Linked DNA regions of Lepisosteus oculatus. Each later gene encodes a partner of the first gene's protein in a complex. Links are inferred from orthologs where the notes say so. Each region holds a gene or a part of one and is shown in the gene's direction. Other genes may lie near its edges.

What was found.
Region 2: the proteins of voltage-dependent calcium channel subunit alpha-2/delta-1 (region 1) and cacna1c are in contact, whole or in part, in a cryo-EM structure (PDB 8WEA), measured with the Homo sapiens proteins. The link is inferred for Lepisosteus oculatus from reciprocal best matches to the Homo sapiens genes CACNA2D1 and CACNA1C. Residues at the interface, in NP_001353796.1 of Homo sapiens: Thr170, Asp171, Tyr173, Ile233, Leu235, Gly262, Ser263, Ser265, Lys270, Thr274, Ala327, Lys328, Gly329, Ile330, Glu366, Gln391, His392, Tyr394, Ile416, Gly417; in NP_955630.3 of Homo sapiens: Phe147, Pro148, Glu149, Asp150, Asp151, Ser152, Asn153, Ala154, Asn678, Lys1090, Gly1091, Asn1092, Tyr1093, Ile1094, Tyr1096, Gly1099, Val1101, Pro1104, Ile1106, Arg1109, Tyr1156.
Region 3: the proteins of voltage-dependent calcium channel subunit alpha-2/delta-1 (region 1) and voltage-dependent R-type calcium channel subunit alpha-1E are in contact, whole or in part, in a cryo-EM structure (PDB 8EPM), measured with the Homo sapiens proteins. The link is inferred for Lepisosteus oculatus from reciprocal best matches to the Homo sapiens genes CACNA2D1 and CACNA1E. Residues at the interface, in NP_001353796.1 of Homo sapiens: Thr170, Asp171, Tyr173, Ile233, Leu235, Ser261, Gly262, Ser263, Ser265, Gly266, Leu267, Lys270, Ala327, Lys328, Gly329, Ile330, Thr331, Glu366, Gln391, Asn393, Tyr394, Ile416, Gly417; in NP_001192222.1 of Homo sapiens: Gln110, Leu112, Pro113, Glu114, Asp115, Asp116, Lys117, Pro119, Arg122, Asn630, Phe631, Asn632, Asp633, Gly634, Ile1330, Gly1331, Asn1332, Val1334, His1336, Met1341, Val1343, Arg1346, Arg1393, Ser1394.

Annotation. Positions count from the first base shown.
Region 1 is NC_090702.1:47,618,563-47,626,441, reverse strand, and holds the start of voltage-dependent calcium channel subunit alpha-2/delta-1, read left to right. Parts: upstream 1-4,842; 5' UTR 4,843-5,185; coding exon 5,186-5,277; intron 5,278-7,879. UniProt on the Homo sapiens protein: The alpha-2/delta subunit of voltage-dependent calcium channels regulates calcium current density and activation/inactivation kinetics of the calcium channel. Plays an important role in excitation-contraction coupling.
Region 2 is NC_090702.1:7,866,001-7,873,261, forward strand, and holds the start of cacna1c (voltage-dependent L-type calcium channel subunit alpha-1C), read left to right. Parts: upstream 1-4,162; 5' UTR 4,163-4,586; coding exon 4,587-4,716; intron 4,717-7,261. Other genes in the region: dcp1b (mRNA-decapping enzyme 1B), read right to left, coding at 1,588-1,717, 3,801-3,867. UniProt on the Homo sapiens protein: Pore-forming, alpha-1C subunit of the voltage-gated calcium channel that gives rise to L-type calcium currents. Mediates influx of calcium ions into the cytoplasm, and thereby triggers calcium release from the sarcoplasm.
Region 3 is NC_090704.1:28,655,994-28,663,250, forward strand, and holds the start of voltage-dependent R-type calcium channel subunit alpha-1E, read left to right. Parts: upstream 1-4,170; 5' UTR 4,171-4,178; coding exon 4,179-4,271; intron 4,272-7,257. UniProt on the Homo sapiens protein: Voltage-sensitive calcium channels (VSCC) mediate the entry of calcium ions into excitable cells.

The DNA of each region.
Region 1 (7,879 bases):
AGAAACGTGACAATTATGGATACATTTAGAAATTTCAGACAGTGAGCTAAATATTGCATTAAACATTTGTTTTTAAACTGCAGTTGTTCACAAATGCTACCTTGCGTGTGTACCCTTATCATCATTACATAGCTCTCAGAAACTGCACAAATTGAGTTTGGTCAGTACTGGGATAGTAACCTCTGGTGGATGAAGAGGGTCCCCTACTATACATAATGCGTTATAGGATCCTTAGGAATGAAGATGTATTAAAACAATAAAAAATGGGAAGATGTTTAAAGTCACATTCAGATAATGCACCTTAAAATATTTGAGTCCTCTATTATTGAAACCACCAAGGAAAAAATATCGTTTATACTGTATATAATAAAATATTTGTATATAGAACGATGATTTTGACAGTTTTTACAATTAATAAATGTGAACATGCTTTTCAGGCTAATTAAATGAATTACATAGGTTGCTGACACTCTTATTGAAAATACCACAATGATTTTCTGTCAATCAAAAATATGGGAACACATATTTACACAAAAGATTAATTAATTCATTTTTTGAAATACTAGAGATATCTGATACACAGCAATTAGAAGCCAAAGTGAAATAATTAGAAATGGTTCTCTTGTTGGGAGAAGAATGTTTGAAGTAACGCTTTTTGCAATCGCCTAAAAACATGTCAGAGCAAGCAAAATAAAAAAATAGAAAGAAATTCACAACCACAGCATATGAAGGTATAATAGTAATAATAAGATGGAGCACTATTGGAAACCACAAAATTAAAGTAAGCATATAGTTACATTTCATTAATTTGCTTTAAAGCTTTTTTAAGCCAGGGTTTTGTAATTCCTAAGAAACCCCATGTAATGATGCTTAATCCTGTTAATTCTAGTTTGTTGTTTGGCTTTTTGTTCACAGATTAGTGACTGACATTAGTAAAAGCCACGTGTTATGTCTGTATTTCCACAGGATCAGAATGAGTCTCTACAGATATTAAATCCACACCCCGATCTCAAGACTGAGAGTTCTCCTACAGTGCTAGTCTTGAAAATGAAATGTCATATTTGGACAGCACAAAGCACATGAAAAACAAACCAAAAAGGCTTTTAAACATCTCCATGGTATATGTAGAATGGGATTTTTCTGGTAAGTGTGCATATACTGTTTCATCTTATTAACAATTGAGTATTTGTCTATTCATTGTTTATTAGGGACCATTGTATATAATCATCTCAAATGAGAGATGATTTACAATTCCCCTGATTGTAAAAAGGATTTTGCAATTCATTGACTAATTCCCTTCAGATATAATTAATTTCCAAACCATGAATTAAAAAGGAATGAATTTGACCAATATTAAGGTGATTAAATTGCAGCCAATGGTTCTGGTGAAGATCTTTTGTAGATATATGAAACAATTTCTGTATCTTGATTTTTATACTTCACAAGATTCTGGATTTCTGCTTTGATTTGAATTCAGTAACTATGCCTCTGTGGCCCTGTATGATTTTTCATTTTCAACCTATTCCTAAATGAAGAGCAATACTCCGATTTTGTTTTTTGTTTGTTAAAACATGTGTGCATATTATAATAGTGTTGTAAGAGTCCCAAAGCACAATTATTTTGCTTTTTCAGATGAAACATCCAACACCCTTTTCAGGCGTGTGATGTTATACTATTTATGCTCTAAAGAGGGTCATGCTTAGTTTATTTACTTACAGCCAATGGGTTCCATAGGATCAAATATAATCTGTGGTTAGGACATTCACTATGGGTCCTCTTCTATTTTAGTGAACAAACTCCTGCCATTGATTAACTGTGATATAATTAAGCTTGGAACACTGCAAGAAGAATGTGCAATGCCTCCAAAATAGTGTTTGCATCTTAAGTGAGAAGGTGGTATTTTTTTTCAAATTTGCCACACGAGCAACACAAATTAGACATGAACCCTATCGCATGTACACATGAAAGCTTTAATACCTGTCACCTTGAAGGTAAAAACACACAAATAACTATGATAATACTGAAGCAGCAGTGATTTATATTTCTAGAGTGAAATACATGCTATTAAACTATTATTTTTTATGAAACTTTAATTCAAGGTTTTCATTAATTAGGTTAGGGGTACTGTATCTAACTCTATATTGTTTCTCATAAGAAATGCAATGCTTAGATCTAATGGAGTTCAGCAATTGTTATACATATTGTGGAAATTAAATCACAGAAAATAATATATAAAAATACAGATCAAAGAGTTAATGAAACATGGCTTACTGTCAACATTTAAAAAAAGTTCTGGTCTCCCCAAGAGTACATACTATCCTGCTGGTGCCGGAGCACAGTCTTGGTCAGTCTCTTCTGTCATGCTCTGCCACTCCTCTTGTGCAACTACAACCTGAAGAGCTACAAGCATTTGTCTCCTGTTCCTGGCATTAATGAGTTGGTCTCACTGATGCCCTATTGGACTAAGGTCAGGAGAAAGTGCTGACTATAACAGGGCCTCAGCACTGTTTTCTTGAAGCTGTATCATTGCTTTGATGGAAAACTGACACTTTCAGATGGGTCTGAAGGAATAGGAAAATCACTGCCTAAGAGACTTTGTCAATGTATCGACGAGCAATAAAGTTATCAGATTTGGTGCCCTCAATCTGCACCAAAAGCAGATTCCTCACCCATCAACAGAGTTCAAACCATGTCACTGTTTGACACTGGCACAATACTTGCCATAATGCTCTCTATGGTATCTCCCAACACTTTGTCTTCCATCAGGTCTGCCAAAGGCGAAACAGCATTCATCAATGGATAGAACACTTCACCACTCTCTCTGCTGCCAGCTCAGATGTTCTCTGGCCAACAGAAGACAGCACTCACACCTCTCAGCTGTCGACGTGTTATTCTTTAAAAGCCTGCATGTAGAAGATTTATTTTTCTGCAGACAGCAAGCTACAGTAATTCTGCTGGTGCACAGGTTATTTCGTCCTGCAATTTAGTGTGTTATAGAAATGGCGATTTGAAAACAATTATGTATTGGGACCTGACAGATGGTTCTGGTTCTGGGTTAAGAGTTGACATGGAACTGTAGCTCTCAGCCCTTCAGGACATGGGCTCCTCATGGATTTGGTTTCCTGATTTCTTAGAACTAGACAGCAGGTTGCTGAAGTAACACATCTCATTCTCTGGACATCTCTTACTGACAGGCTGTCTTTAATTATGTCAGACATAACCACATGGTCTTAATTATTCAAAGGCTACATTGTCATATAATGAAAAATAAGAAATGATTCTTCCTTGCATCTACTGTACAGTAAACTGTATGTGTCTCATGGCAGTGATTCAGAACCTGCAGCCCTCAAAAGGAGATCAAGAAAGGAAGAGAGATATTGTGTCACCTGATAAATTAAAGGGGAACTTGGTTATAAATCTGCTTATAAATGGTTAACTCCCCTACTTCTGTGAACAGTGCCGTGTAAAAACCTGGAACATTTATTGGTTTATCATCAGATGAGCAGATTAAACACAGTGTCCCTGGTCACTACAATGGGGAATTGAACTAGAAGTCTTCTGACCTACTGGTCCACAAACACTACTGCAGCAGCCTAGTTTCCCTGAGAGGTTTCCCCTTCCCAGTACTCACCAGGCCCAACCCCGATGAGCTTCTTAGATCTGAAAAGATTAGAATACAAGGCGATAGTGCTGCCTGCATCAATTTAAATAATGTCTTTATGAATGGCTAGACAGACTCTTTCAAAAACTCATCATGGCCACTACAATTTGACTTAAACGGCAGACATGGTGTTTTTATGCAATCCCACGGCTTGCACTCTATGTTTTGTCATCCCAAGGTAAAATAGTGCAGCAATTCCCCCCTAGTGTTCCCATACAGAGTGGGTCCTGTATGAAGAGAGGCAGGATATGGGAACTGCAGCTCACTGACTTTATTACCCTTTTGTAGGTGCACTGTGTGCTAGTCACCCAGAGTGTAGCATCCTCATCAGGCAGTGATGGGGCACTGAGCAGATAAGCAGTGGTGCTGGTGATGTCAGCCCCAGGAGAGCATGCTGGGACAGACAGGAAGTTGTTTGGGATAGTTTGGAACTATCAAGGACAGTGTTAACTCCTCAGACTCACAGAGGAGTACAGAGGTTTGTGTGCATTTTATGTGAGTGTAAGTGTGTGGCTGTCCCATGTTTCCCCACCTGTGTATGTGGTTTCAGGTTCCCATCCTGACGTACCTGACCTTTATTAGTCAGGACCCCCACCTTCCCTACCTGGTGGGGATGATGGGGAGTCAGAAAGTGGTCAGAGTTCAGAGGATCATTACAGAGGTGGTATATTCCAATACTAACCAAACTATCAAGAAACACATTGCTCACAATTTAAGATGAGAAGCCCAATTTACAATATGTCCCCAGTAAATTACTGATGTAAAAGTCATCTGTTACATTTTCATTGGTTATCAGTATATAAGAGACACATAACAGGCATAAATGTATATGAGCTAATTGTTTAAATGGCAACTCTTCAAAGAATAAAAACTGAAAACAGAACAGGTTTTTTAAGAGTCATTCAGAAGATCAGTTTTAAGAAACAAATACAGAATCAGCTTCCTTTCTCACCCTAACCTGTTGTCGTCCTTGTCTTATACTGCAGATATGTAATGTCTTGCTCCTTTAAGTTTGCCAATAGGTTTATATTAGGAGGCTTGGTTGTGTATCTGATCAAAGGCGGTGGTAAAGGAGATCAGCTGCTGAGTTGGTGAGTTCCTCTCTTCCTTGTATGGAAGGCAGTACATGATCATCATCAACAGAGGAGGGGGGTTGCGGAGGGGGGGGCGGAGGGGTTTACTGTGTGCAACTGATCTAGTGGGGTCTGACACTGGTCTCTCATTGCAGAGGAGGAGATAAAGACCGTTCTACCCCACTTGCAAAATACAATTTCACTGCATCTATTTAAGGAAAACAAACTAACACAGCTGAAACTGAAACGAGAGAGAGAGAGAAAACAGCCGCGATCTGTTAGAAAGTAGCGCTGATGGCGGCTGATCAGATTAGCTAGTGGAGTAACAGACTGTTATCTGGCTAAGTGTCACTACAAGCTGCTGTGGACTTACAGTGCGTTTCTCTCATTAATCACATTCTGGATCGGTGCATTTTTTCCCCCCTCGCGTGCTGGAAATTGCGTTTAAACGATGGATTCTTACAGGATATCCGTCCTTTTTTTGGTACTCTTCTCCCTGTTAAACAATCTTTCTTCAACGGAGCCGTTTCCTTCTCAGATATTGTAAGTAACAGGAGTTGGGGTCATTTCTAGCTAGGCTACATGAGGTTTTCAGCTGTTTGCCAAATGCTTGGCAGTCCCGTGCGCTGAAGCTGCCGTTTTTAAAAACAGCTGCCGTTTTTAAAATAAAATCAAACTTGTGACAAATTGACATCCTCCCATCTGTTTTGTACAACAATGATTTGACTTGTCTTTAGTGTTAATACAGTACTAGGAAACATGTAGCGGTCTAATCTGTAAACAGCGATTATGCATTACTCTTTCATTGTAGTTTTCTTTGCTCAAGGTAAGACGTTAAATTAGCAGTCAGACATATCCTATTTGAAACTGGGTTTAGGATTTAATTTGCCAGACAATGGGTAGGCGACAGTTACTGAAAATTTTTGCGTTGACGAAATACAGTACGGTGAGAGCTTCATCTGTGCAGGGCAGGGGGTGGCAACTTTCACTATGATATGCTTTGTTCATCATAGATACTCTTAAGACTTTATCCGCTGTACCGGTTCATTACGTATATTCAAATATACAGTAGCTTTCTTAAAAAAAAAGATTTAAAACTGTTGCTCAGCTCAGTTGTTACTGTACTAGCAGCGAAGGTGACCCTTTTTAGATTACGGCGATGTCTGTTGTATATAAGTACATTTAAGTACATTTTCCTCAATTCGGGTCATGCTCTTACGTTATTATCAATTTACTGTATACTGCATTTCATAAAACCACATGGCAACTAATTATCAGTGTTGAAAGCTAGTGGCCGTGTCGCTTGATAAAGCTTTTTTCATGTCAACTTGTTGCGAGCCGAAAGGTACTGTATCTGCTTATAAAAGTGCAATTCACAGCGATGGACAGTTTGTATGCAGCTCTGTAGAAATATACAGAATTACATTTTTCAGTTCATTCAATGTAGGTACCAAATCGTACACGTTATCTTGCACAGCTTGCATTGTTACTGTGATGAGCAAGATATTTGAACTGCAATCAACTATTGAAGTTACAAAATTCCTATTGAAATGAATGTTTTATAAAAGTATTAGTTGGGATATTAGGAAAGTATATGAAAAAGCCGAAATGACAGCGTCTGATCTTTAAACATGTAAAAACCACCCTATGAGACATAGTTTTTTAGAACTTGTTGAAAATCGGCAGTTCTAAATTAATAGTCTGCAAATTCGAAGAACTCTACAAAAGTATTTTCTGTTTGATATTTTTAATATATATTATTTTTTTTATATTACACACTTGTTTTATATGGCGGTAAGGGAGGTTCCTTGGGGATCAACAAAATAACATTCAATAAAAAATATTTTAACATTTAAAGTTAAACATTTTTTCCTTTTTTATAAATAAAATAAACCAATTGATTTGTTTACATGTATGTTTATTCCACATAGACTACTGAATGATTTATTTTAAACTCCAGTTTTTATTCAATACGTTACGAACATTCGTAGAATTACAGTTGTTTGAACTAGTGTTTCGGTGATGGCATTGATTTTTATTTTTTTTTGCACGCTCTTTTATAGCTTCAGTTTGAAAATGAACTGCAATTATGTGTATCAACACTCAATCGTGTTTAGAATATTTTGATTGGAGAGCTTAGGAAAATAAACCAGCAAAGTGCGAGGTGGTTACTGTTTTCCCAGAATACAAATTGCACGTGGTAATACTGTAGAACCCTTTTCTTAAAATAAACCATAGAGAGATTTCCTAACTTAAACTGAGTGCTTCATATTCATACTCAGAAAGGGAATATGTTGTAGACAGAATGTTTCATAATTAAACATTGTGCCCGTACTTATACATAGTGGTTAGGTCGATAATGAACTGAAAACTGAATATCAGGTTGCCATGTTGCTGTGTATTTTATATATATATACTGTATTTTTTCTTAAATTGTTTTCACAACGCGCATGAAAACAACGAAACCTTATATGGAGAAAGTCTCAAAGATATTTATATACTTGTTAGTTTTTTGTTGTTGTTGTTGTTGGGCAGGGCATTGTGACTGGCAGTAGGAGCAGACAGTGATTCATCACCTTGTGCCACCTAGCCTTTGCCATTAATACGGTCTACATTTATAACAAATGCATGAATCTGACATGGTGTATATGGAAGTCCGAATTAGAAGGCAGTGCTAATCCTTATGACTCTTGTTTTTGCCAGTGGTGCAGATGCATTTTTAGTTTCTTGTCAGCAGAGGAAAGGAGTGGGTATCACTTTTGTTATCTGTATTCTGGGTACCTTTGTTGAACTGTTTTTGACTGCACCACAACCATGAAAGTGTCAGAAAATGTGAACAAAAGTTCTTTTGGAGACAAGATAAAAAGACCCTGGGGCAAGTATGGATAGTGGATGATATAAAAGATGACAGGGTTCCTTTATACAGTATGTGTTAGGGCTCATTTAAATTGTACAAAAGCAACACAAGCTCTTTTCTCTACAAACAGGAGCATTAAAATGCTTTTCCTTATTATATTTGCGGCATGCTTTATACGGTACATATGCAAGTTGCTGTCTGGCTTGTTGCTTGTTCAACTGCACTTTCTTACTGTAATTTGCTGTGTGATCAACCTCTCATTTCACACACTGTAATGGGAACTGCCCT
Region 2 (7,261 bases), about 40 Mb from region 1:
GTTGCCGGTTCATATCCTGCAGCTGGCAGAGGAATCCTACTCCGTTGGGCCCCTGATCAAGGCCCTTAACCCCAACTACTCCAGGGGCGTCGCATAAATCGCAAACCCTGTGCTCTGGCCCCAATCTTCTCTCCCTGTCTGTGTGTCTCATGGAGAGCAAGTTGGGGTATACGAAAAGACAAATTCCTAATACAAGAAATTATCTTATATAATGTCTTTTCAAAAGCAAATATTCCTGAAATGTCATTAAAAATAACACCAAGCATTAAGAGGAAAGAAGAACAAAGGAGAAGAGGACCTTCGCAAAAAAGAAAGAAGAGAACAAAGAAGATTACAAAATATGATGAAGCAGAAAATATCTTGTAAACTGCTGCTATGCCTTATTAATCCCAGACAGTTAATGCTCAATAAGGAAGCAGGTATCCTATCAGCATTTTCACAGGATAAGAACCTATGGCTTTGGCCAAGCTAAGAAAAGGTTCAGGAATGCATTTTCTTTTTTATTGGTTTGGCTCTTGCAATGTCAAGGTAGTGAGCCTCAGTCCCTTAACACTCACAGTGAAAATGTACATTACTAACGAACAAGAGGAGGACATCTGGCCCATCTAACCTATTTGGAGGTTAGTAGTTAACTGTCCAAGGATTTCATCCAGCCTAACTTCAGAAAAGTTAGGGTATCAGCTTCAACAACATGGCTAAGTAACTTGTTCCAGACTCCCACAACTCTTTGGGTACAGAAGTGTCTCCTGTTCTTGTTTTAAAATGCACTTCCATCTAGTTTACACTTAGAGTCCTCCACTTCATGTTTCACTGTTTAGTGAAGAAATCTGCTGTGTCGACTGTCAGTGCCATTTATTTTGAATATTTTTTTCTTTTGAAGCCTTTTAGTGTAGGATATTTCCTGAAGCCCCAGGATGTAGATTCTCTGGACTGATCCCACAGAAGCAATGTCTTTTCGATGACCCAAATTGTACACAACTGTATAAATGAGGCATTGCTAGTGCATCATACAATCTTCACATAACATCCCTTGCTTTAACTTCTATGCTTTATATATCCTATTATTTGTTAGTTTTTTAATTGCTTCTTCACATTGTCTAGAAGATGTAAATGAGTTGTTAACATAAACACTTGGGTCTTTTTCATAAGAATGAGACAAAAGACAACTTCACAAGTTTTTTTTTTACATGGTGCTTCTTCCTTGTTGTTCTCAACAACCTTTATAAAACTACATGGGGCTCCAATGAGAAGCTTATAACCTACTTTAATGGGAAGCAAATCTCTGCTATTTTTTGTAAATTGGTTCCTCAACACTAGCCCTACTCCAAACACTTCTTGACTTTTGGTACAAAAGTTAATTTTAATACTTTAAAATCTTTTTTTTTCATATGCCTTAGAATCCTCTCAGTACAATTACAGAGAAATGAAGTTATTTTTAGAATTTTATGTTTATGTTAAAAATAAAACAATACTAAATACTTACAGGAATGTAATTTACTCCTTATCAGCTGAGATACACTGTTCTTGGAGCTGAGGGTATCAGTTGACACTAGTGCCACCTAGTGGTATACTAGTAATTAAACCTACCTTGTCATACTCATCCCTGGCCTTGTTCAGCATCTGGAGGATGTCGACCCCTTTACTGTCCCCTGAGTGCAGAGCTTTGGGAGACACGCCTCCCCCATGCTGAGCTTTCAGTTGTTCTTGCTGCGTTAAACTGGAGGAGGAGGAAAGTCACCAGAGCATAATCCATCTAGTATAAACATACTGCACAGAGCTGCAAAGTCCTGAGGCTAAATGTACACTGTTGCTGCACATTTGTAAGAGTGCATTTTACAAAATCAAACTATACCGCCCTGCAGTGCAGAACGCACTTGATTGCCATATAATTATCATTTGCTTGAAACTGTCTCTATACCACAGAGCCAATTTCAGAAATAATACTCTCAATTTAGCCTCCTGAGCCACTGCCTCACACAGAACAAGAAGGAGAAGCACTTACAGTGTCTGAGGAAACACTAAAACATAATTGATTGTTAAACACTGTATAGGTAATTTTATCTAAAGGGTAGACATACACCTTATAAATGTGTACTATAATGATTAAATGAGACATGAAGATGAATAATAATATCAGTTCAGGTGGGTAGCTGCATCAGCATGCGTGCATAGGCTGCAAAGGAACAAGTAATAGGTTTATTCCATGCTGAAAAAAGAAGAAAGAAAACACAATGTTTCGGCTGTGGAGCCTTCTTCAGGTGTGAGAAAGATAGGGCAGTCAGCAAAGAACATATAGTGTTGGAAAACAAAACCCAGGAGAGAGGAGGAGGCGGGAGCAGGGGAGAGGCAAAGTGGCCAATCAAGTGGTGCGAGGTCGCGAGAGGGGAGGAGAGGTGTGAAATGAAACCTACACATGAATAGAGAGAATAAGAAGGAAACAAGTCTATCGTTGAGAGAAGGGGGAAGGTGTGAACCAAGTTTCAGGATAATTTTAGTTTCTGATTTCCTTCTGCTGTCGAGTTAACAAACCCTACTTTGAGAACGCAGACGGAGAGATCAGTGTGATCATGGCCGTCAGAGGTGAAATGAGAAATGATGGGCTTGGAGAGATCTTCAATCTTCACAGCCTGCCCAATTTTGGCAACCTACTGAATAGTAGGTGTGTTGTTGGGAGTTCAGTAATCTACCAAACTGATTTAATTGAGAACCCCAGTCTCCTTGTACTGGTGGAAGGCAAATTCAGTGGCCCAGATTTTTTCTGTGTCATGTTGTAGAGTATAAAGTTATCCCACAATGATGCAGCACATTATGATTTGCAGTTTGGGATAGTATTTTTTTTGTTCTGCTCTTGATTTTCCCTTGAGGTTAACAGGCTTTATTTTAAGATTTAATATTGCAAAAAATTGTAATGGCCTAATTTTTTTTAATGGTCCAGACAGTGACAAGTGCACATTTGAAAAGTGTATATAGATATACATTGTATTTCTTAAAAAATGATCCACTTATTTCAATCAAAGACATTTAAGTTCAAATTTACACATTCTCCGTGGCTTCTATTAATGTCCTATAATCTACAGAGGGGAATGCTTAAATGATCTGATTAAGACGACAGCAAAAGATAACAAATGCCCACAGGTGTTTCCTGGAAAAACTAAAAATAACACCTATATTTTAGGAGGCTGTAACTGATAAGATTAAGGTTATCTCATCTTTCACAGTGTAGCAACAAGACCAAACCAAAGACACTGTATTGTGTGGCTTTAAAGTACAGAGGATAGGGAAAGGAGAGCAAATAAACAATTGCAAAACCTTATTGTGCCTTGCAAGTATTTAGCTAGATCCCATGAGTGCTGAATCATCATTCTTCCATAACAGGTAGGCTCTAAATTAATATTCTGACACAAAAATGAACGTCAGGAATGTTCCCCCATGCTGAGACTTTGACAAGCATAACATTTTGTGCAAGGCATGTAAATGGATTTCTGATCCACTGTTGCCAAGGCATGTATAATACAGAACACCATCACCTCCTAACCACTGATCCAGATTTTGAGCGAGCATTTGAAAAGAAGAAAGATTAAGTGGGAGAGTGTGGAATGAGACACAGTAACAGGATGACATAATCTTTGGATGGATCACACCACAATACTTCTATAGCTGTGCATAAACAAGAAGTACTGTGACAGCAATTCAAATATTTATGGATATGGACTGGCTGAAAGATGACACAATACAATGTAGAGCTACAAACCGGTGTAATAACTAGATGCAGACAAACAATACATTTGAAATGAACGTACTTCTTCATTAGCTCAGCAATCCGCTGACAGTCCTCCTTGTCATAAAACCAGATCCCATAAATGGACACTGGAAACAAAAAATAACAGACAGATTCTGGTTATAACAGCTCAGGGGACAGGACAGATCTTGATGTTATTTTCAACAAATTCAATTTAATGGTAATATTAAAGACAGAGAAGAACAAAATGTACAGTATTTGGAAAATGTTCAGGTGACAGAGCTGCCCCAAGGGGCTTATCAGCTGGAACTCTTAGGCAGGGATGGAGAGGGCGGGGTCGTAGCCGGGGCTGGAATTTTGGAAAGCCATGCTGCTGAGAGGAAAGGCGAAGCTGATCGGGCTTGGGTCAAGAGCGTCGGTGACAAGCAGACAGTGAACATTTCCCCACACCTCCTCAGATAAATCTTGCAAACAGAAGTGAGAGAGACAGGGCAGCCAAAAAATGTGGAAGATAAAAGAGAAAAACAAAGCGGGCAAGTAGAGGGGCTGAGGCGGCAGATAACTTAAGAAATATCCTGACAAAGGCAGACCGATACTGCCAGCGGACCTCTGAAGAGGTACAGTGCCGTGTAACGTCGCCAGCTTCGTGAACCTCAGTTGTGTGGGATTCTGCTCCTGAACACCGGCTTGGTCACGCTTAAGGATTACATGAAATTGTTTCTCTGACTGAAACTGGCACGGAGTTTTTTATATGACACATGAATACAGAAAACCAGGTGAGAGGGCACAAAGGATTCTAAGGATTTTGATTTGTGTTCTTCATTATACACCACAGTGGTGATAGATCATGTTTCAGAAGGCATTCACCCTGCATAGAAAGCCCAGGCACCAGCGCTTGCCACCAGAGCCAGATGCCAAATACAAAGGAAAACTTGTGTCCGAGACGCAACTCAACTATACCTATGTCCGCCCTGGAGGTAAGATCATTGCTAATTACAGACTATTCTTGAAACTATATTCTCTAATGTTCTAGAATGTGATTTGTGGCTTTTTTACTCCTTTTACAAAGTACAATTACATTTTGCACAACACAGTATTTGAGAACAGATTAGATGTTTTATTCTAACTTACAATAAGTTATTCTATGAAGAATGTCTTTTTATCACTTTTCAAAGGGATTGTTAAGTCTTTCTATTAAGTCTTATGTCACTGAAATCAGCATGAAATTATGTTTAGCGGTTCAATTACAAAGACACTCTGCCACAAAAATATTCCTTTGCTAGGCCACTCTAGGTTACCGAGTATAAAACCATCTGATTACAAAGGTCTAAAAAAAGGCTTTTTTAAAAAACCCTTACAGGTGTTGCCTCTGAAGTTCTGAATGAATGGTTATTTTAGGGATGTCAGAATCTCAGTTAAAATATCCCAGTTAATTAAGAAAGACAATCTCAAAACATGAAGAAAACGTAAAGGGTAGCTTGTCATTCAGTATGACTCGTGATTTCGAGGTGAAAAAAAGCAAATCGCTGGCAAGTGCCCCAGTAGAAATTACTTGCACTTTCTACCATATTTAGACTCTGTGATAAAACTGAAAATGCCTCTATGTGTCAACTTAAACAGCCCCAGCCCTCTAAATAGGAGCAAATAAAATACAGTTACTTGAATTATGAGATCTATCAATTAATAATGAGGCTGCCACTTACTGCAATACACCACAGCCATTTAAGTTCATCATAGTGAATCAAGACTTACAGTGGGCACTGCATGTGAAGGGGCTTCATGTGTATTTGAGAACTGTCTTTATCTTATCTCGGTTGGCTTGGTTTCTGGTGTTGGCAGGACACTCAAGAGAGAAGCCCAGACACGCAAGCTCACTGCCCACCAAAATACCTTTGCACCATAAAAGGAGACGAAAGTCCTTTATGAGCAAACTGGTCTCAAGCTACTATGATTATCACCAATCTCCCTATTTTTATATGTATTTGAGTGCTTTATGCTTTGAAAAGAAAATGAGACTTAAACGTTTTGCTCAATTCCTCTTGAAAACTTACAAAAGGGAAACATTCCTATTTTTTAAAATTTATCACCATCTCCTTCTGACATATTCTTCATTCATTATCGTCCTCCTTATTAAGCCACAAACCAATTCTTCCAACCAGTTTTATGATCTGTAAAATCATGTTATGTGCCTTTAGCCATTAGCTGTTTTTCAGAGACGTTTCAAAATTCCTTGTAACATTTTATGGATATTCTACTTGGTTTTGCATGGGTATAGTGGGTACTGGGTACAGTGCTGGTCATTTCCAGTTTTCTTGTGCTTTTCCGTTTCAGATCGGGGCGTGGTTCCTTCTGACTCATCTTTAATTTTGTACATCCTTCTACTTAATTTCCGCACTTAAGAGAATAGTCTTCAGTCTTGTCTGCTGTGAAAGCAGGTGTTGATTATAAAGGGCTGCAATCATCACCATGCAGAACACCTCTGTAACCGTTCATCCGGCTCCTTTTCACCTCACAGGTTACACTCCTGGTGTGCTGCAGCTACATAAATGGCTTTGGTGGTGGATAAGGGAGATAAAATGCCATGTCAAATCGCTGGTGTTCTCAGCAGGGACACTAAAACCCCATAAAAAAAGTTTAAAATAACCTGCTTGTCACAGACTTTTCCCATATTAAATATATAACCTTGACGGTATTTACAGCATTTCTGAAATGTGATTTGACAGCCGGTGGACCCCGTCAGTAATTTTATCAACCTGCTACAGAAACACATCTTGCAGCACTAGAAAATTTGTATCTGGGTGCATATTTCTATCCTTCCATGGTAACAGTTTTGAGCAGATTTCAACATGTATTCAAAGTGTATTACTATAAAGGAACAAGTAATAGGTTTATTCCATGCTGAAGAAAAGAAGAAAGAAAACACAACGTTTCGGCCGTGGAGCCTTCTTCAGGTGTGAGAAAGACAAGGCAGTAGGCAACGGTAATGTAGCAGGAGAACAAAGGCTGGGAGAGAGGAGGAGCGAGAGGTGGGAGCAGGGGACAGAAAGAGAGGCCAATTAAGAGGTGTGAAGTCAGAATAGGTGTAGAGAGGTGTGAAATGAAACCTCTAATGAATGAAGAAAATTTAGAAGAAAAGTAGTATGTCGTTAAGAGAAGGGGGAAGGTCTGACCCTAGCTGCAGGATAATTTTGGTTTCGGTAGTCTTTCTGATGTATGAGTTTGGAAAACCATCTTTGAGAACACAGACGGAGAGATTAGAGTGGTCGTGGCCGTCAGAGGTGAAATAAGAAACAACAGACTTGGAGAGATCTTTAATCTTCACAGCCCTGATGTGTTCTCTGAAGACGGCCCCGACGGCCATGACCATTGCAAACAATGTTGTGTTTGCTTTCTTCTTTTTTTCAGCATGGAATAAACCTATTACTTGTTCCTTTGCAGCCTATGCATGCTGACGCAGCTACCCACACGTATTACTATATGTCGTTTAATTATTATATTGCTATTAATTTCTCCAAATTTAAT
Region 3 (7,257 bases), on another chromosome or scaffold:
TTTTTTGTTTGAGGATCAGATTTTTTTTTCCATTACCAGAGTGGCAGGTAAAGTCATTTTCTGCGTCATTGAAAAGGTTATCCACGTTGTGTTGTCAAAAATAGAACATGTAATAAAAATATATGCAGGAGGAAATGTTCTGAATTCCATTACAGTTAAAAACAAAAGAAAAGTAAAAAACAATTATACTTCATGTAGATCTGTACTTTTAGAAACAGGAGAATGTGGGCTCCCAACCACTCAGCAGTGGTTTGCATTAAACGTTTAATGCCCATACATCACCACTTTGAGCCTGGGTAATATCACTAGTCAATGGAGTGGGATTTCCTTAGATCAGGTGTACATCTGGCAGTTTTGCTTGAGTAGGGTAAATTGCCCAGTCCTTCCTGACTTCTTTATAAGCAGCTTGACTTGCCAGGTGGCTGCAGACTTGCATTGATATCAATGAGAGATGTGCGAGTAGTTTGGTTAGAACTAGAATTCCCAGCCCTGGCTCTCAACAAACTCATATCTGCTGAGCTTAATTACCCAATTGAAGCCTTGATTGAATGAGAGAATTGCTTGATTGGACTATATACTGTACTGTACTTGTATAAGTTATTTTTCTACACAAGTGTTTTGGATTTTAGAATTAGATGGCAGCCACCATCATGCGTAAGAGCAGAAAAACAGTCAACCATTTCAGATTGAGTGTTCCGTTGTGTTTATCCTATTAGTAGGTGTTTAGTTATGTATCTGAGAGCTGGGCTGGAGCACAAGCCAGCAGGTGTGTGAGCCCCCAGGACCAGGACTAGGAACCTGTGTTTTAAGGCATTGTGAAACTTGCTTCCTGTCAAAAGATGAATAGGACTGACAGGTTGGCAGACTGGAGCAGAAGGTCTGCTGGAAAGCCATGTGAATGGCTAAAAAAAGTAAAAAAGAAAATGGAGACTGACTGGTGCTAAAATTATCAAAGAATTGTATTTGTTTTAGTTGAACAATATCTTAGAGTACAAAGGAACAAGTAATAGGTTTATTCCATGCTGAAAAAAAGAAGAAAGAGAACACAACGTTTCGGCCGTGGAGCCTTCTTCAGGTGTCCACGGCTCCACGGCCGAAACGTTGTGTTCTCTTTCTTCTTTTTTTCAGCATGGAATAAACCTATTACTTGTTCCTTTGCAGCCTACGCATGCTGACGCAGCTACCCACCTGAATATCTTAGAGTATACAGTATCTTGTGTTGCAGTGCATGTTAGTTAAGGATAAATAAAGGGATTTTGTCTTCTTGTTTGCCTTAATTGTCCTCCACTCATTAGTTCTGTGTGTCCCTTTCATCAGCCTCCATATTTGTATCATTGTTTATGGAAAAGTTTTTTTTCTTCTCAAAGTTGTGAAGGTTTAGAAGCAACATTGGAAGTTTTCTGCAGGTTTTCCCTGATATAATTGCTACAAACAGAAAGTATGAACACCCATGATCTCATTTATTCCTCCTGTTGTATAAGGATTTTGAATGAAATACTGTACAAAATAACTGTTTAAAACTAATGAATAATCGGAATTATCAGAATATTAATTTAGTACTTTACTTACTATATTTAGTACTTGATTACTTAATAATATACAGAAAAATGGGACAAGCCTTATCTTTATATATTCATATACTGTAGAATGAAAAATATTCCTAAAAAGACTTATTTTTCAAGTAATAAATGATATTTTGTTTATCTTGCCTGAGGTACTGTAGATGTCAGTTTATTTTTGCATTTTTAGTGAGAAGAGGCAAATAACATCAACATGGCGTCTGCTTTCAGATTTCACTAGGTATTTCAGGAATGTGTGTGCACAAACTGTCAAACTGTTTCCCTTTGTTGTAAAAATAGACAGCTTTATGACTTTGAAGACAGGAGGCCCAACTCTGATCAGCACGCAGTTCAGTTAGACGGTATTCACACTGAGGATTGACAATAAACCTAACTGGCTGAGGTAACTGACTGTGCTGAAACACTGCCATGGTAAATAAACAACTCAGAATTAAATCTCTCCTAGCTAGTAATCGGTCTGTTTTGTTCGATACATAAAGCCGTGCCTCCTTTTTATTTTATTTTTTTGGCTGTTCAGATAACATTAATCCAGGTTTGAAAATACAAGCATTATTAAATGAATGTATCATCTCTTTTTCCCCAAAGGACAGTGTGGGTGTCTCTGTGGCCCTTCTGCTGTTCCTGCTGGTTGGCAGCAATGTTTGCTCTGATGTATCCCCGTTGGCAAAGGAGACGTTTATTCGTTTATTATTTATTTTACGTATCTGAAGAAATGGCATGCCCACGCACCCTGGCAAAGAGTGCATAGCTAATTCCCTGGCTGTCTTGAGGCTAGAGTCGAACCTGCAACCTTCGGGAACTCTGGGAAGATCCTGAAACCCAGAGAGAAGCCTTTGTTTGTGTTACATGCTATTTCCTCCCACTCTCCTTGGTCCCATCATGCATTGAAGAAACGCAGAGGAGGCAGCCCATCTCCTGCAGTCTCACATTGTGGCAAAGACCTTTTCATGTCCCATTCTTGCTCTGGGGCTGTAGAAGGATCTGTTGCTTTGTACTGCTAGATCTGGAGGTGGTAAGAGCACTGTAAGGCAGCCAAGGCATGGATAAGCAGGATTTGTACGCTGGAAAAAAGCAAGAAACTTGTTCTTGTATCCTATAAATAGGAAGCTTTTTTATAAGGGGTATTAACATAAGTATATAAGTATTAAAGAGTGGGATGCTACACTTTGGAAACTGTACATTTTTGATGTTGCCGCCTTTATGTTAGAGCTTAACTAAATCTTCAGCTTTTTCTGCACCCCACATCGAATTAAAGCCCCTCTCCCTTCTTCTCTCACATTTATACGACCCAATGAGAGGTGTACAGAATGCTGCTGTTGCTTTTGATCCTATGCTTCACACGGATTCCATTATTATGATGTGCCCAGATGAATTGGCATGGTTCCTATTTGGATGTCATTCTTACATTTTACAGGCAGAATAATTGAATCAGTGAAGGTATGAATTTTAATCTTAAAATGTTTTTTTTTATTAGTCTACAGAAACTGAATCCATTTCAACCGCTGTGGCCAACCTTTTTGCATCAGCTTTGCATTATACTGTAGGTACAACTGATAATGGAGAAGTACAGTACAGCTCATTCAGTAGTAAATTCTGAGCCCACATCCCTTGGTGATTAGTATATAGTCTAACCATTTAGCTCACAAATGGTACTCTAGAACAGAAATTACTTCTGTAAATTCTTATTAAATTAGACCTTATTTACTCTTTTCATCTTGGCAGGATATTAATACAGTAGATGTGGTAGGTTAGACTGGAGCTACCGAAGTAATAAACCCTTGGCACTGCAAACAATTATAAAATGACATATTGCATTGCAAATATTTGACGTTGCTCTTTAAATCTTGGGTAAAGTTGATGTAATTAAGCACTTGTGCTCTTCTGCATTTCATTCCTCACATTCCTACTTGTCAGACTTTCATTAAAGCAGGTGAATAAAATTGCCGACTTTTTAGTTACATTTCTTGAAACTTCGGGCTCTACATTTATTCACACATTGTGTATAAACTGATGAAGCTACAGTATATGCCTGAACAGCTGTATTAAAATAAAAAAACTACTGTTGCTAGAATAGAAATCATCTGAACTTTGCTTTGACGTACTTTCCAGATTTTCTGGATACATTACAGTGACAGGCTTGTTGTGGTTGCTGCTAAAATCCTGAAGTTATTCTCTTCTGTTTCATTTAGATTTCATGGTCTATTATCATGTTGTAAAGCACCTGGACATTTATTAAACTAAAGTCATCTAGGAATAATACTTCTTAATGAGAAATGTTATATGTGGTGTAATATATATATATATTAATGATCATTAATTCTCATTTAATTTATGCTATTCATCAATTTATAGTGCAAACATAGAATGCTATTTCATCTTTAATATCTGTATATTTGACAGAGGGGAAAAGAATGTCACATTTCTTTTCTGGTCACTAGTCACCTTAAAATTCTGTGTCTTTTTTTAAACAAAAAAATGTACACAGTTGCAAGACGTTTTATTCAAATGTTTAATTGTTGGTTATATTAAACATTCTGTTGTTTTTATTTACTTTCAAGAAGTTTGTTTCCTTAACCTGTCTGCACTCCTTTTGAATACATGATCCTGGCTACCATCATAGCAAACTGCATTGTTCTGGCTCTGGAGCAGCACCTTCCCGGAGATGACAAGACACCCATGTCAAAGAGACTGGTGAGTAATTCTGTACTACAATAATCATATTTACAATATGTGCAAGCAGAATTCAAAGGTCTTTCAATATTCTTTGTTGAATGGCACAAATGTTTCCTATGCAGTTAAATTCAAATTCTAATTGGCAGTGTGAATTTTCAATGTGAACATTTTATTAAAAATCTAAATAACAGTCTCCCCCCACTCAAAACCCCTATATCCACCCCTATTAACCTCAGTGGTACCTCCCTCCAATTTTCTGATAAATGGGAACTGCAGTATGGTCCAACAGCTCCAATGGAGGCCCCAAACAATGTCTGTGGCAACACTCCGGAAATCTACCATCTCCTTAAAGCAGAGTGGTTAATAAACATTTTTACACTCGCTCTTCAAATTAGATTTAACAAATGCGTAGGGTTTCATTTTAATGAGTTGGCCTATTGTAAATGTAGTCAGAAACCATTTACATTGTGTACACATACACATACAAAACAGTATGTATAGGACCATTTAGAATGCACTTGTATTAAGATAAAGAAGGGACGCTAAGCATGAATGCATTAAATTTTAACTCAAGGATCTATTCTGTCTTCTCACCGAATACTGTTCCAAGCCATGAGTACACTGTCCCTTCCAGGTGGACATCATAATTTTGCCTTGCTCAACCCATCAAACTTGAGTTTCACATTGTAAGAGCTTGCACAGGTTGAGTCAGGGTTGTGCCTATAAATCAGATTAACTATACCTGATGGACTGTATCACTCTGTAAACATCCAGGACAACATTTAATAACTTCAGTCCTGGAAGGCAGTAATCCAGCTGTATTTATAGGCATCTTTACATCTCTAGAATTGAACAAACCTGGTCAATTAGTACAAGTTAGACAATAAATATATCCATTAGTTAACTGAGAGCTCAGGTAGAATAAAAACCTGCTTCTAGGACAGGCCCTCAATTAGGAAGTGAGGTTGCAGTGGATTACACCTTTGTGTTGAAGGTGTAGTGAATATATATATTCCTCAAGGGATATGTACTCTGAGCTCTCTTTCTCATTTATTTTGATGTTTTTACCATAACTGTTGTGCTCTCAGCACAGCTGTGAAGAGCACTTGAAAGAAAAGAACAGCTCCATGAGAAAATGGAGGCTATTAGATTGCTGCTTCAGCTGACCTTGCTTGTTACTTGCTGTGTTGTTTTATGTGGGAGTGTGTGTGGGTGGGGCACATATTACTATTAATGTGGGGACAAGATGTGAGAAATTGTTTCCATAAAGAGAGAAATTCCTGACAAACAGATGATGTGGGGACACCTCCACAATATAAAGGACTCTTCATTAACCAAATGCTGTCTTCTTTTAAAGCTAGAACTGCCAGATACAGTATATACTGTAGTTTTGGGATTCCATTACAGTGGATTATAAAACAGTAAATGAAAACAGAATGAGTGTTAATAAAATAAAAACAAATAGACATATATCAGAAGAAGAATGAAAAATGGACATTATTCCAATGAGATTAGAATACAAAACTACATAATCATTAAAATACTTTCTTATTTTATGTAAAGAGAAGAGGAAGAAGCAAGTGGCTACCCTAAGGAAATGTCCCATAATAATCCTTATCACTGGCCCTACCTGCTTTTTTATCAGCTACTGTCCTTTAGAACATAGTTTGGTTAATGCAGTTTTAAATGTTTTTGAAATACTAATATCCTCTTTCAATATCTGCTACCAATAGCTTTACTACTCCAAGATCCAGGAAAAGCAACATCTGACACTTTCAGAGAGTGGATGCCATTGAAGAACATCTATAATGGCATGCAATATAGCTTTTCAGGACAACACAACCATGATACAAACTGTGCTGTTAATATCACTTTGGGTGAATTTAGAAAGCATCAAATGCTGACTTCCTCAACACCTGTAGCCATACTGTATGATCAAATCCTATGTCACAGGCTCCACAAGAATTGGGCCTTGTCAATATATGGATGAGAGGCCTGTGAGGACATTCATGGGGTTCAGACATTGAAGCCACCAGAACTACATCTGTCAGCCTGTATTTTGTTTAACAATGTTTATATAATGTATAGAAACAAAAGTACTGTATCTAGAGGTCTTGAGGAAGTCCAATCTCATGGCTACAGTACGTCCGTTGCAGGAGCAGCAGAAAAGTATCCTTGGAACACGTAAGAGTTAATTCCATGCTCAAAGATAGAGAAAAGAAGCAAATTATTCTTCACCTGAACAGCTGAAATGTTATGTTTCTGGTGTTCAATGTGGAATTGAACGTTATTTCTTCCTTTGCCGCCAATGCACTCTGATGTAGCTCGCCACTTCAGTCTCTTCAAATAAGCATCCTTGACTTCTTTTGCTGTTTATTGTTGCATAGAAAGGTATGATTAAATAATCAGTAAGAAAAGGAAATCCTGTTTACAAATTGAATGAAAACGAATGTCTCATGGTCTGCGTTTTCTCCGGATTTCCATCATTAATGCTTGTTTCCAGTCACATTTTTTTTCTGGTACATATAAGTCACACGTATTCTGATTCCCATGGGTATTCACTAGGTCATCTTGCAATAGAAGAATGAAATTGGTTTCATTTAGTGTGTAATTGGTTTGACTGGGGGTTCTTATGAAAGTATAGTGTTTAAGGTCAATTTGCCATGATACTTACAGTAGACGTGTACAGATTTGCAGATTTGATTAGGAAGGCTGTACCATACTCTGATAATATTCTGAACTGCTACAGTGCATTTGCATGTGTCCCATATGCATTTTAATTGTAGGCCCTCCTGAATGATACAGCAGAATAAATACAAATGAAATGAGTCAAATGTCAATGTCTATATCAAATAGTTTCCAATTCTTCCAAGTAACGTTTTTCCACTATTTGTTCTGCAGGGTAAATAAAAGGCCTTATTTGATCTATAAATTTTACATCACCTTATCCACTGTAAACATGTATGGATAAAATGATAAATCATTTACATCATTCAGTTATTTA